Linked DNA regions of Pelodiscus sinensis. The protein of the gene in region 1 purifies or fractionates together with the protein of each later gene. This does not show direct contact. Links are inferred from orthologs where the notes say so. Each region holds a gene or a part of one and is shown in the gene's direction. Other genes may lie near its edges.

Evidence for each region.
Region 2: the proteins of CD81 (region 1) and IGSF8 purify together in Homo sapiens (co-immunoprecipitation; 3 studies listed by BioGRID and IntAct, with this or other methods). This does not show direct contact. The link is inferred for Pelodiscus sinensis from reciprocal best matches to the Homo sapiens genes CD81 and IGSF8.

The regions. Positions count from the first base shown.
Region 1 is NC_134714.1:115,680,573-115,688,180, reverse strand, and holds the start of CD81 (CD81 antigen), read left to right. Parts: upstream 1-4,575; 5' UTR 4,576-4,779; coding exon 4,780-4,845; intron 4,846-7,608. UniProt on the Homo sapiens protein: Structural component of specialized membrane microdomains known as tetraspanin-enriched microdomains (TERMs), which act as platforms for receptor clustering and signaling.
Region 2 is NC_134734.1:14,343,255-14,350,508, reverse strand, and holds the start of IGSF8 (immunoglobulin superfamily member 8), read left to right. Parts: upstream 1-4,223; 5' UTR 4,224-4,452; coding exon 4,453-4,513; intron 4,514-7,254. UniProt on the Homo sapiens protein: Member of the immunoglobulin superfamily (IgSF) that links tetraspanin-enriched microdomains to the actin cytoskeleton and plays several important roles in innate and adaptive immunity.

The DNA.
Region 1 (7,608 bases):
ATGCAATTTGCATAGCTCAAATTGCATAGATTATTTCGAGCTATGAGTGCAGTATTGACACACCTTAAGAGGAAAAAAAAATTGGAGAGTTGGCAGTTTTTCAAAGGGACATTATTAAGGGTGCAAAAGCAAACTTTCCTACAACACAGGAAAGATAAGAAGTACGGAAGAGACCACGCTGGTTTAACCAGGAGATCATGAGTGATATGAAAATCAAAAAGGAGTCCCACAAGAAGAAGAAACTAGATCAAGTTATAAAGGATGAATACAGACAACAAAACTATGTATGGGGCAAAATTAGAAAGGCATAGGCTCAAAATGAACTCAAACTAGCTAGTGACATAAAGGGTAACAAGAAAATATTCTACAAATGTTTTAGAAGGGGAAGGACAGGTTGGAACCACTACTCAGTAAAGAGGGGAAAACAATAACAAAAATGTGGAAATGGCAGAGGTACTTAATGGCTTCATTTTGGTTGTCGCTAAGATGGCTGGTGGTGATTGTACACCTAGCATTGTGATTGCTGGTGAAAATAAGGTAGGTTCCGGAGTTAAAAAAAATTAGAAAAAGAATAAATTAACAATTACTTGTACAAGCTAGATGTCTTCAAGTTCCCAAGGCCTGATGAAATGCATCCTAGAATACTCAAAGGAGCTGATTGAGGAGATATCTGAGCCATTAGCCATGACTTTTCAAAGATAATACAAGACAGGAAAGATTCCAGAAGCCTGGAAAAAGCCCACCTATAAAAAGGGAAATAAGGACAACCCAGGAAATACAGGCCAGTCATTTTCACTTTTGTAACAGGAAAGATCATGGCACAAATAATTAAGGAATCCACTTGCAAACATCTAGAAGATAATGAGAGAAGAAACAGTCAACATGGATTTTTAAAGAACAAATCATGTCAAACTAACCTGATAGATTTCTTTGATGGCATAGCAAACCTTGTTGATAAGAGGAAGTAGTAGAAGTGGTCTACCTAGACATTAGAAAAGCTTTGGATTCAATCTCAAATGTCTTTCTCATTAATAAACTAGTGAAATACAACGTAGAGTGGACTACTATATAGTGGGTGCATAACTGGTTGATTATTCCCAGAGAGTAATTATCATGGCTCGACAAACCGCGGCGAAATCCACTTGCCAGCCCCACACCATGCATGCGCCAGACCCGCACTGCGCATGTGTGCACCGCCAGTGAACAGGGCGACCGGCTAAAATCTACTCGCCACAGGCGAGTAGATAAAAAGGTTTGTCGAGCCCTAATAATTATCAATAGTTCACAGTCATTATGGAAGGACATAATGAGTGGGGTCCCACAGAGCTTGGTAATGGGTCTGGTTCTGTTCACTATCATCATCAACGATTTATATAATTACATATAGAATATTCGTATAAATTTTGTGGAAGATCCCAAGCTGGGAGGGGTTGCAAGTGCTTTGGAGGATAGGATTATAATTCAAAATGATCTTGACAAACTGGACAAATGGTCTCAGGTAAATAGGATGAAATTCCATAAGGACAAATGCAAAGTACTCCACTTGGGAAGGAAAAATCAACTGCACACATGCAAAATGGGAAATGACTAGGGTTGCCAGGTGTCCGGTTTTGAACCAGACAGTTCAGTATTTGAGCGTTCTGTTCGGGAAACAAATTGAGAAAATATAAATGGCCGGTATTTTCTAAATAAGATGTAATGTAGATTGTGATGTAATGTCAAGTGTGTCCAGTATTTTTGCTGAAACCATTTGGCAACCCTAATGACTGCCTAGGAAGGAGTACCGTATTTTCCGGCGTATAGGGCGACTGGGTGTATAAGACGACCCCCTATCTTTTTAATTAAAAGATAGGGTTTCATCTTATACCCCAGCGCCCCTCCGCCTCCTTTGCTCCCGGTGTCCCTGGTCTGCTGGAGATGGTCCCCAGCAGACCAGAGGCACCGGGAGCAAAGCCGCCAGGAGCGCCTGGGCTGCCCCCCCCCCCCCCCGCCGGAGCCCCTCCGAGGCTTTGAAAGCCTCGGGGGAAGCCGGCGGGGGGGCATCCCAGGCGCGCATGGGCTGCCCCCCCGCCGGAGCCCCTCCGCGGCTTTGAAAGCCTCGGGGGAAGCCGGCGGCGGGGCATCCCAGGCGCGCATGGGCTGCCCCCCCGCCGGAGCCCCTCCGCGGCTTTGAAAGCCTCGGGGGAAGCCGGCGGCGGGGCATCCCAGGCGCGCATGGGCTGCCCCCCCGCCGGAGCCCCTCCGCGCCACCGCGGAGGGGCTCCGGCAGGGGGGCAGCCCATGCGCGCCTGGGATGCCCCGCCGCCGGCTTCCCCCGAGGCTTTCAAAGCCGCGGAGGGGCTCCGACGGGGGGGCAGCCCATGCGCGCCTGGGATGCCCCGCCGCCGGCTTCCCCCGAGGCTTTCAAAGCCGCGGAGGGGCTCCGTCGGGGGGGCAGCCCATGCGCGCCTGGGATGCCCCGCCGCCGGCTTCCCCCGAGGCTTTCAAAGCCGCGGAGGGGCTCCGGCGGGGGGGCAGCCCATGCGCGCCTGGGATGCCCCGCCGCCGGCTTCCCCCGAGGCTTTCAAAGCCGCGGAGGGGCTCCGACGGGGGGGCAGCCCATGCGCGCCTGGGATGCCCCGCCGCCGGCTTCCCCCGAGGCTTTCAAAGCCGCGGAGGGGCTCCGGCGGGGGGGCAGCCCATGCGCGCCTGGGATGCCCCGCCGCCGGCTTCCCCCGAGGCTTTCAAAGCCGCGGAGGGGCTCCGGGGGGGGGGGGGCAGCCCATGCGCGCCTGGGATGCCCCGCCGCCGGCTTCCCCCGAGGCTTTCAAAGCCGCGGAGGGGCTCCGACGGGGGGGCAGCCCATGCGCGCCTGGGATGCCCCGCCGCCGGCTTCCCCCGAGGCTTTCAAAGCCGCGGAGGGGCTCCGACGGGGGGGCAGCCCATGCGCGCCTGGGATGCCCCGCCGCCGGCTTCCCCCGAGGCTTTCAAAGCCGCGGAGGGGCTCCGACGGGGGGGCAGCCCATGCGCGCCTGGGATGCCCCGCCGCCGGCTTCCCCCGAGGCTTTCAAAGCCGCGGAGGGGCTCCGGCGGGGGGGCAGCCCATGCGCGCCTGGGATGCCCCGCCGCCGGCTTCCCCCGAGGCTTTCAAAGCCGCGGAGGGGCTCCGGGGGGGGGGGGGCAGCCCATGCGCGCCTGGGATGCCCCCCCGCCGGCTTCCCCCGAGGCTTTCAAAGCCGCGGAGGGGCTCCGGCGGCGGTGCATCCGGCGTACAAGACGACCCCCGATTTTGGGGGGATGTTTTTTAACATCAGAGGTCGTCTTGTACGCCGGAATATACGGTATTGCAGAAAGGGATCTAGAAGTCATAGTGGACCGCAAACTAACTACAAGTGAACAGTTTGACACTGCTGCAAAAAAAGCAAACCTCATTCCAGTATGTAAAAACAGAAGTGATATAAGCCAGTGTTTCTCATCCTTTTTTATAAAGTACCCCTTCACAAAAAATATATATATATAAGTACCCCCAGTACCTACAGTTTTCAGACACACAATTTTTTTCTACCATTGCAACACCTTTGTTTAAACAACTTCATCGTAGCAGGGTGGGCGCTGAAATTTGTGGGTCTAAAAAGTACAAAAATAATAAAACGCAATAAAACTTAAAACAAAAATTCAGTTTTCTCCAAATTTCAATTGTGTTGACATATCCCCCACACTTCTCTTGAGTACCCCTAAGGGTACTCGTACCACTGGTTGAGAAACACTGATATAAACAAGACACAAGCAGCAAGATTTCCACTCTACTCTACACTGATTAGGCCTCAGATGGAGTGCTTAAGTTTACTTCCCTAAGTAGTCACATTGATTTCAATGGGAGTAGTCCCCACAGTATAGTTAAGCATGAGTAAGCATGAGACTGGGATGTGGGGGTGCAGGAGTCTTAGCTGGTGTGTATAATGGGCACAGAGTTGGAGTGTGGGGGTGCAGGGATGTTATGGCAGGGGCTGGGGTTGTGGGGGGTGCAGGAGTCCAGGTTGGGATGTATAAGGGGCTGAGGACAGGGGGTTGAGGTGTATGATGGGCTAAGGGAACAGGGTTGGGGCTTGGGGGGGTGCAGGGGTGTTATGGCAGGGAGCTGGGGATGCGAGGGTGTTTTGTGGCATCAGGTCTAATACAAATTATACATATTAGATGGGGATGGGGCCGGGGGGGGAAATCAATGCGCAAAAGCTTTCCCAAATTTAAAACGGCCAGATTTAACCTGAACTACCCCAAATTTCCAGCAGGCATCTGGAAAAATTCCCAGGCACAGAGCGGCTCCACTGCTGAATTCAATGATCCTTTAGCAATATATTTTTCAGTAGTCACTTTGATTTGTAAACCGGGACCCAGAGCTACTTATCCATCAGTCTCCTCTCAGAGTTGCTTGAGAACGGCCAAGTATTATTATTTATTATTATTATTATTATTTATTATCATCTCTGTGGCATTTCAGACGTGGGTTGAAAGTCGGCGGGGGGACTTTGGGCTGGCTGCCCCCAGGAGGCGGTAGCCTCTTCTGGAAAAACGACCTACGTCTGAGTGGGAGGATCCTGGCTTAGCAACAGAGTCGGGGGGTGTCTGTAGTGGAAGGAGGGAGGAGATAAAGCGGAGAAACAGCCTAGCACCTCGCCAGTCAGCGGAAGTCCCAAAGGAAAACAGAGAGGACCACCCTCTACAAGAGCTGCGGCGCTTTTGCTCGCTCTGATTTAACAGGCCCCGTCTGGCAGGCAGCTCTGCCCACCGACCTCTGCCGCCATGGGAGTGGAAGGCTGCACCAAGTGCATCAAATACCTGCTCTTCGTCTTCAATTTTGTCTTTTGGGTGAGTGCGCTTCTTCCCCCCTGGTCTCGCGGCGCTGCAGGGGGCGGCGTGGTGTCTCCTGCGATGCGTGGGGGGCTGTGTTGTGTTTTCTCCTCCTGGCTGGGGGGGGGGGGGGGAAGATTCCCTCCCCCAAACAATGCAGCGGGCTCAGCATGGAGCGGCGACTTGGCTTTGCTTGGTGTGAGCTGGAGGCGCAAAACCTCCTGCCCCGAACCGCTACGAGCGATGAGGGAGCTGCAGAGGGCTTGGAAGATGGAGGAGGCTTAGCCCAGGAAAAATGGTTGTTGCATTGGAAACACACAAGGGCCTGAGCCGTGAGCTCTTCCTATCCTGCTAAGGAACCGTTCAGAATTGGGTTTTTTTTTAAAAAAAAAAATATCCCCGTAAATCTAGAGGTGGGTTTTAACGGGCTGTTACATTCGGAAGGCTTTCGTTGATTGATCCAGGGTTAAAATGCACCGACGCCCTCCAGAGTTAGTAAACCACCTGTAAACTGAATTGGTAGACGCTTGGGAGGCATGGAGGAGCTCTGTTTATCTCTGCTGAGTGGAGAAGGTGTGGGTACTAAGTCTGGTGCGTAGTTACATAACATCTGAGGGTGTTTCGCTCGTGGGAATGAGTTATAACTACATCTGCAGACCGATTTGTCTTCTGGCGTTCTAGTAGATGGGCACTAAATAATCACTAAAGCGTGCAAACCCGTGATTAGAGGCTGGAAACTGGAGTCAGACCTGTTTCTCCCCCCCCCCTTTCCTTTCCTTTCCTTTTTTTTAAAGGGGGGGAACCTCTTCTATAAAGATTTTTTATCTGTGTAATTAGTTTTGATGCCAAATGTTCTAATATGTAGAGTGAAGTTGGCTCTAAAAAACAAATTAGCTCAAAATGAGGAGACACGTAAACCTGATTTTAAAAAAATCTATCTAGTGCTCCTCCTCTTCTGGTATTGCGAACAGGGAATCCGGACAGAGTGGGGGAGGATGTTTCCCAGCCTTGAGATATGAATGGGAAACTGTTGCTGTGAGATTAAGACTGAGAGTTAGGGTTGGTTGCTTGGGAAAGGGCTGCTACGGGTAGGAAGGAGAGAGTTAAAAGCCAGTTAGTTGTTTATAAGCTAGACAAATTAGGACGAGCTACATAGAAGGGCGATCTACACCCCTCCCATCGTCTCGCACTCTCTCCCTGCTTGGAGAATTTTGCAGGGACCACACCCCGAATCTCGGGAAAATCTTTGCCTGAGTTTCCACGGCTCTAGATTTTAGAAGAGATCCGGTTTTGGTTGTTTTTAAGTAACGGTCTGAAGAACTTGAGCCCTGTTGTTTTTCATGTTATTTGAGAAGTAAATCTTACCCTGTACATAGCAAGAGGGGTTTTCTAGTAGTTGCCTGCAATGAATAGTTAATCAGCTCTACACCACTGTGTTAATTGAACAATAGGTTGCATAGGCCTGTCTGTGTAATAAGGTCAACATGTTTGTCCCAGTTATGAGCCCCCCCCCCCCAGGGTTTTTTTGTGGGTGAAGGGCTGTGTTCTTTGTTCTGTTTGGCTATTTATTTCTCATGCCTTTTCCTTCCTGAGTTGGAGCTGATGTGTCCAGTTATTGCTGGACATGTTAGGGTCAGTCAGTGATGCTTTGGTGCTAGGATGACCAGGGCTGTCTCAGATGATTGGTGGTTCTTGCAGCTTTTTTACAGCCTGTGCAGTAGTGGAACACCACCTCCCTGCCCTGCTTTTGCTGGCAGGAAAGGATACATCCGTTTTCACCCTACTTTTAAACTGAGTTGACCGCATATATTTCCATTGATCGGACCCCACCACTGAGCAGCACCATCTCAGAGAGGCAGTTTAGACTAGAGGGAGACACTGCTGGGAACTCCTTTTCATTCCCATGAAATTCTGGTTCCCTGGGAATCCCTGGCTCCGCTGACAGCTAGAAAATGCAGTGCCTGGAACTGTGAAATGAAGCGTTCACTGAGGGTGAAGTCTGAAGTTTTTAAAAAATATTATTTTGAAACACCCATTTCTTCTTGGTTGTGTGAACTGACAGCACTTGTTCAAGATAATCTGTTTATATGATTCCATCCCCATCCCACCCCAGCTAGTGAAAGATGATTATCTACAAATGTCTTCTTTTCTGGTTTGCTGGTCATAGACACAGGAAACACTGCTTTAACCGATAACTGATTGTGTTTTCTGGGGATTTCCTATTTATTTGCTTCCCTGGGCTCCAGCTCTCCTCTCCTCAGTAAGTTGGCAGCACTTTTAACTTGGGCCATACTGCCAAGCATGCCTAATCTGCAAGTAGCTATACTGGCAAAGCTGTACTTATAGCAGTATAATGTATTCCACACACCTACAGTCCCATCCCCCCCCCAACACACACACAGTACCAGTAAAAAATAAAAAAAAGTCTAAGGGGTAGCTGTGTTAGTCTGTAATTTAAAAAAAATTCCCACGTCCAGCCCTTTTAATTAGCTTCATAATTGTCCAATAATGTCTGATGATGTCTTCATAATAGTCTGATAATTGTCCGGTACTTCTTTTGCATTTATATATACACCTTGGATTCTGTTATTTCCACTCCAACTCATCTGATGAGCTGAGCTCATAATCCTATATGTTTTTGTTAGTCTCTAAGGTGCCATAGGACTACTTATTGTACCAGTCAAAGCACAATTTTGTTAGTATAATGACATCTGTAATAGGGGCTGGCATAGCTGTGTCTGTCTGGGACCATGCCACTGATTGATGACTAATGCCAGCAGA
Region 2 (7,254 bases), on another chromosome or scaffold:
CACCGCTACACATTGATCCACCTTCCGTCCACACCCTTCATCCACCACTATACACGTCTATCCAGGCAACATCCACAACCTCCATCCATCATCACACACATCTATCCAATCACCATCTACCACCACCACACATCTATTCACCCCACCACACACGTCTCTCTACCCACCACCTACAGCCACACGTCTACCCATCTACCATCCATCCACCACTCTACACACATCTATCCATCCATCCATCCATCCATCCATCCATCACCATGCCTACCACCATCCAGAGCCCTCCAGCTGTCTTTGCTTCTGTCTGCAGAGTGTCACCCACAGCTCTCTATCCCTCCGCAGTGAGTGGACTCTGTCTCAACCTTAGAATAGTGATAGAGATGCAGCTGTGTTAATCTGGTGTAGCTAAAACAAAAGACAGGACTTGGTAGCACTTTAAAGACTAACAAGATGGTTTATTAGGTGATGAGCTTTCATGGGCCAGACCCACTTCCTCAGCTCAAATTGTGGAAGAAAATTGTCATGACCATATATACCAAAGTGATACAATCAAAAAAATGAACGCATGTGAAATTGAAAATTACCTCACAGACACTAACCTTCCCCCCTCACCCCACTCTGTTCTAAAATTTGATTTGTCAATTTCACATGCATTCATTTTTTTGATTGTATCACTTTGATTTATAAAGTTGTGCCGATTTTCTTCCACATATTGATGTGAGGAAGTGGGTCTGGCCCACGAAAGCTCATCACCTAATAAACCATCTTGTTAGTCTTTAAAGTGCTACATAGTCCTGTCTTTTGTTTCATCCCAACCTTAGGGTTGTGATATCTCCTCACACCATCTCCCTGCTCCATCAGACCTTCCCTCTGTGGCTGGCCCTTGGAGACCAACTCCCATGGAGACTTCAGCTCAATGGGAGCCCAGTCTCTGTTCACCGCTAGCCTCACCCCAGCACAGGCCGATCTTTTGGCTCCCTGCCAGCAGCCTGTTTGGACTCTGGGCTGCTGGGGGCAGAGACCTGTTGCTCTGGAGCTCAGAGAATCCATTAGCAGGCGGCTGCTTTGACAGCTTGTCTGCGGTTTCCTCTGGGGAGGTGCTAGGGAGATTAATCTGCATCGACCGGGGCGGGATCAATAGACTCCAACGAGCTGGGCAGGAAATATTGACTGGGACAGGTCCAGCTCCAGATAATTGCTTCTACAAACAACCTCCAGCAGTGCAGCAGCTGGTGGGAGCAGCATGCACAGTGCAGGAGGGTGGAGGGGGAGGATCCTGAACTATTTCTCTGGAGGGCGGGGCTGGATCTGTAGTACAACCTTTTATTCTGTCATTGGAACTCATGGGGGCCAAGTTGTATCCCCTGCTGCTTGTGCAGCCATTTACCCCAGTACAAAGGGGAGTGCAACACACCCAGGCTATGTCTACACTGGCGCGATCTTGCGCCAGAGATATGCAAATGAGGCTAAGCGTGGAATATCGCCGAGCCTCATTTGCATATCTAATAAGCCGCCATTTTTGCGAAAGAGGATCTTGCACCAGAAGGAGCTGTCTACACTGCCCCTTCTTGCACAAGAAAAACCCTCTTGCACAATGCCATTATTCCCGAAAATAATCAGCATAGTGGCATTGCGCAAGAGGGTTTTCCTTGCGCAAGAAGGGGAAGTATAGACAGCTCCTTGTGGTGCAAGAGCCTCTTCTGCAAAAATGACAGCTCATTTGATATGCAAATGACACGCTTAGCCTCATTTGCATATCTCTGGCGCAAGATCGCGCCAGTGTAGACATAGCCCTTGTGTTCACACTTGGCCTGCACTGATGTGAAGGGCACACAAGGGGACAACAGGGAATCAGGCTGCTTGAGACACTGAAAAGGGCTGGATGTTGCTTTCAGCCTGGGGCAACTTAGAGCAGAGTTAAGGCTACTGTAACTTACACAGAGCAGAGTTAAGGCTACTCTAACTTAATGGCCTCCCACTGCAGTGAATGGAGATCTCACAGGGCAGACGGTGTCTTTCTCCCTATGCTGAGGTGATAGTGGCAGGAGGAGGAGAGGCCGTTGTGTGTCACCCTGTGTCAGGGCCACAGGTAGGGAACCCTCAATGTGCCTGTCAAGGCAGCATCGCAGCTGCTGTGTGACAATCACCAAAGGGCCCAGGATAGAGCTCTGTGAGCTGGGTGGTTTATTTCTGGGTCACTCTTCCCAGGTCCCTACAGGAGTAGCGTGCAGAGGAACAATCCCATTCAGGGATACTGCAAACTCCCCAGAACCGGGCCTGAGGTTTGCGGCATGAGCTTCAGCCAGGTTCTTCCTGGATCCCAGGGGAAAGGATTTCCCATAGCCCAAGTTCCTGGAGGGTGCTGGCATGGTGTTAAGGAGTCAACTTCAAACCCCTTCACAGCAGGACTGTGTCCAAGCTACCCTCAGGGTACAGATCCAGGGCTTACTTCATGGCCAGGGGTGAGCGTATGTGTGTGTATGAGGGGAGTATTCTTGGCTTTGGGAGCTTCCCAGTTATACAGCTGAGCTGAGTTTGAAAGGCAGCTAGATGGATCTTGTGGTCAGGAACCCATTGTATGGTACGCGGTCAGGAGGGTTAATGTTGTCATTCCTTTGCCCAAACAGTAGCAGATTTCAGGGCCTAGCAGGTCAATTTCCCAGGGGAGGAGAAACCTGTGTCAAGTAGCTCAGGTGTATTCTTAGCGCACTTGTTTGCCACGCTATGTGCATCAGTCCGGGAACAGTCGCGTTCCCGGCAACACTGGCATTCCTGGCAACAGGCACACACCCATGCCCGGTCCCTGGGGGCAGCTCTGCTCCGAGAATTGACTCTCCTTCAAGAGATCCCAGCAGGGAGCAAAGTGCCAACTGCTTGCAACAGCTCCTCTAAAAGCCAAAACAGCCCTGCAAAGGGACAACACTCAGCATTTCAGGCCAGACCCATGCTGCTCCCACAAGACCAAACAGATCTTGTCTGGCTGGGTACAAAAGCGTCACCTGATGATTCCTCCCCTAACAATGGCCCTTGGTGGTCTCCTGCACAGCTAGGAAAGTCTCACTCCTCAGCAGGGATGTTAATGAATTAGCAACACCATCTCCCAACTGCCTGCAAAGCAGCTCAGGATCAACTAAATTATACATTGTAGGAAACTGAGGCACAGGAATCCTACAACAAGTCACTGACAGAGCTGGGAATAGAACTCAGGAATTCTGATCCTCAGGCAGGCGACATATTATATCCTAATCTCCTCCCAAAACCCAGGAGTCCTGGCTCCCTAGACCCCACTCTAACCCTTAGACCCACTCTCTCAGTGTTTAAGGCTTCTTATTTCACCAGGAAGTGGGGAAGTGTCCAGTGTCCTAGGGCCCCTCCATCCTGCCCAGGGCAGCTCCCCCACCCTGTCACAGCAGCGTGCAAAGGACTGATAGTTGCTCCACCAGTGCTCAAAGGCAGCCACCTCTGGGGTGGAACAAGGCAGCAGTGCAGTAGCCACGCAGCAATTCTCCACAGGGATCCCTCACCGCACAGCACTGACATGCAGCCACCTCTGGGGTGGAACAAGGCAGCTGTGTAGTAGCCACGCAGCAATGCCCCACAGGGATCCCTCACCGCACAGCACTGACATGCAGCCACCTCTGGGGTGGAACAAGGCAGCTGTGTAGCAGCCACGCAGCAATGCCCCACACGGATCCCTCACCACCCAGCACTGACATGCAGCCACCTCTGGGGTCGAACAAGGCAGCTGTGTAGTAGCCACGCAGCAATTCCCCACAGGGATCCCTCACCGCACAGCACTGACATGCAGCCACCTCTGGGGTGGAACAAGGCAGCTGTGTAGTAGCCACGCAGCAATTCCCCACAGGGATCCCTCACCGCCCAGCATTGACATGCAGCCACCTCTGGGGTGGAACAAGGCAGCTGTGTAGCAGCCACGCAGCAATGCCCCACAGGGATCCCTCACCGCCCAGCACTGACATGCAGCCACCTCTGGGGTGGAACAAGGCAGCTGTGTAGCAGCCACGCAGCAATGCCCCACACGGATCCCTCACCGCCCAGCATTGACATGCAGCCGCCTCTGCGTTGGGACTCGTAAAACAGCCGCCCAGGGTCGCTCAGCGCGCAGTGCAACCCCGTGTCCCGCGGGGAGGCCGCTTGGGAGGCGCCGGGCACGGAGAGGGTCGGGGGGGGGGGGGGGGGGGAGCATTCTCGCCCTGCGGTCGCTCTGAGCCGGGGCGCGGGACGTGGCGGCGCTGGCTGCGGCGGGGGCCGGGCCGGGGGATCGATCCGGGCCGCCCAGCGGCTGTTCCCAGCGCTGCAGTCGGGCAGGGCGGGGCCAGGGGAGGCCGAACGGACCTGGGCTGCCTGCACCTCGCCCCTCTCCTGAGCCGGCGCACGGGGCCGCCTTGCGCGTCCCGGGCGAAGGCTCCCAGCGCCGGGCCGGTGCTCGCCACCATGGAAGCCGCGAGGGCGCCGCTGCCCCGGGCCGCGCTGGGCTCCTTGCTGCTGCTGATGGGTGAGTCGCCCGCGCAGGGTCAGCGCCGGGCTGCGGGGAGCCCTGGCTGCAGCTGCTTGGCACGGATGGGGGTGCGGTGCGGGGGCCCGCGCATGAGAGCTGCTGGAGGTGGGGCAGCCCTGCCCCCTTGGCGGGCGGCGAGTCCTGGGGACGGGGGTGCACTGAGGCTGGGAAAGGGAGGGGGGAGGCTGGGGGAGCCCAGCCCCCTTGGCAGCTGGGAAAGGGACGGGGGTGCGGGAGGCTGGGGGAGCCCAGCCCCCTTGGCAGCTGGGAAAGGGACGGGGGTGCGGGAGGCTGGGGGAGCCCAGTCCCCTTGGCAGCTGGGAAAGGGAGGGGGGAGGCTGGGGGAGCCCAGCCCCCTTGGCAGCTGGGAAAGGGACGGGGATGCGGGAGGCTGGGGGAGCCCAGTCCCCTTGGCAGCTGGGAAAGGGACGGGGGTGCAGGCAGCTGGGGGGAGCCCTGCCGCTGAGGTAGTGGGGGTGCAGGCGGCCGGGTGGAGCCCTGTCCCCCTCCTAGCTGGGCACTGAGGGTGCGGGCGGCTCCCTGCTCCTTTGGCAGCTGGGGACACAGGGTGCTGGTGGCTGGGGGGGGAGCCCTGCCCTCGAGGCAGCTTGGCACTGGGGGTGTGGGCAGCTGGGGGAGCCCTGCCCCTTCGGGGGCAAGGTGCTGTGGCCCGGTAGGATGAAGGTTCATAGCCCTTGCTCCCCCACCAAGCCAAGGGAACAGGGCCCTGCCCTCCTGACTCCTCCTTCCCCAATCTCCCCACTGGAGCAGGGAGGCCTCTTACTATTCCCCTGGTAACTCCCTCCCAGCAGCTCCCCCAAACACCAAGCTGTGCATGTGCCTGGGGCTTGCCCTGGCAGCTCACACCTCCAGGGCTGCCTCTGTGACCCAGAGCCCACACCAGCACTGGGCAGGAGAATGCAACGGGTCCTGCCCCCCATTTACAGAAACATCTGCCTGCTGGCCCCGTTTGGTGCATGTGTCGGGGTGGGTGTCTTCTCTGACTTTTCATTTAGTCTGATCCTCATTTTGTGATTGCTTCCCTCGGATCCGCTGGATTTGATCCTTGGCCTGCTCGTGGGAGGGGAGAGGGGCTGTGCAGCATGCTAACAACCAGCTCTGGACTTTTCTAACGGTGCCCTGGCAAGAGCTGATCAGACCCAGGAGACGACTCCGTCTGTCCTGCCCATGAGGCTGTCTGGTTGGGTCCCCAGTTGTGAATAGGGACAGATCAAGGATGGGGGCAGGGCTCAGGGGAAGACTCTGCCCCAGACCTGCACGACCCCTGGTTCTCCAGCTGGCATGTCATGGCTCCTGTGCCAGGCCTTAGTGCCTGCTGCTTGCACCGCATGGTCCCAGCTTGGCCTGCCCCCCAGGGAATTTCACTGGTGATGCGGCGTAAATCCCCTACAGTTGGTGGGGTTTCTGGGAAAGGGTGAGTTGCTCTGTGGGCCCAGCGTGACTTTTTAGCAAGGACAGCTCTTCGTCATGGGCCTGATTTTGATTAACCACCTGCCCTGTGGGCACAAATGGCTTTAACTTGGCACTCCTGGTATTCCAGGCTCTGGCCTGCCCCGGTATAAATCAGAGCAGCCTCAGCGTGGCTCTAACTCTCACCCTCCTTCCCCCGGGGGGACAGAAAATAGCTGTCGCACAGTGCGCTCTGGCCACACCTCTGATCCACAGCCCAGGCTGCTCCATCTCAGCTCCCAGACCCGTCTCTTCCCTGCAGCACCCACCCTCCTCTCCAGGGGCTGGGCAGAGTAACTGAACCTTGTGGGAAACACGCTCTGGGGACAGCAGAACACCTCGCTTTCCTCCTGCCGCACGCACCCTAAGGAATTAGCCCAGCGTGCCAGCACTGGGCAAGTCTTATTCCCCCCCAGACTGCAGAGAAGATAACAGCCTAGTACTGCTACCCTGCCCCTTGACCTCCAGAGACTGGGGCAGGGTGGTGCTGGTTCACAGCCAGTTTGCCCCTTTGTGTTGATAAAGGAAAGGCGCCCCTCCCCTGAGGCTTGCACAGCTGCGTTTCAGCCCAAGGCCTTAGAGCCATGGTTCTCAAAGTGCACTCTGCAGACCACTAGTGGCCTGCAAACATCTTGCGGGCAGCCTGTGGGCTCAGGGCTTGCCTACCCCGCCCCCCCCCCCTCCTGCCCGCACAGTGGGGTGCCTACACTAACACTCCAGCCCTGTATTTCCCCTCCCATGAAGTTGAAGCACCAACACTGGCTTCCCGCTGCAGGGGAGAGGCAGGCCATCCTGGCAGGCTTGCAGGGGAAGGAAGTGGCTCTGTGTGCTGCCACTGCTTCTCCCCCGGATGGGGGAATGGCAGCACAGAAAACGGCTTGCCTGGAGGTTTTCCCCACCCCGCTGCTCCCATTGGCTGGAATCATGGCCAATGAGAGCAGCAGGGTGGGGTGGGCTATGCTGAGGGTGGTGGGAGGCATGGAGCCAGATACATGCCCCCCATCCTTCTCATGTCCTGACCCCCCAACCCTCCCGGCATCTTCTCTCCCTCCCAGGTCATGCACATTGACCCCTCTCCTGTAGCTTCCCTCCTGCACCCTCTCTTCCTCCCAGCCAGACCATGCAGCCCCACCCCACCCTTTCATCATCATGGGTGGTTGGCTGGTGGTCTGTAGAAGAGTGTTCTTTGTGCGGGGTGGGCCACGGGCCAAAAAGTTTGAGAACCACTGCCTTAGAGAGTAGGAGGGGGTGCATAGCTGTGACATGGG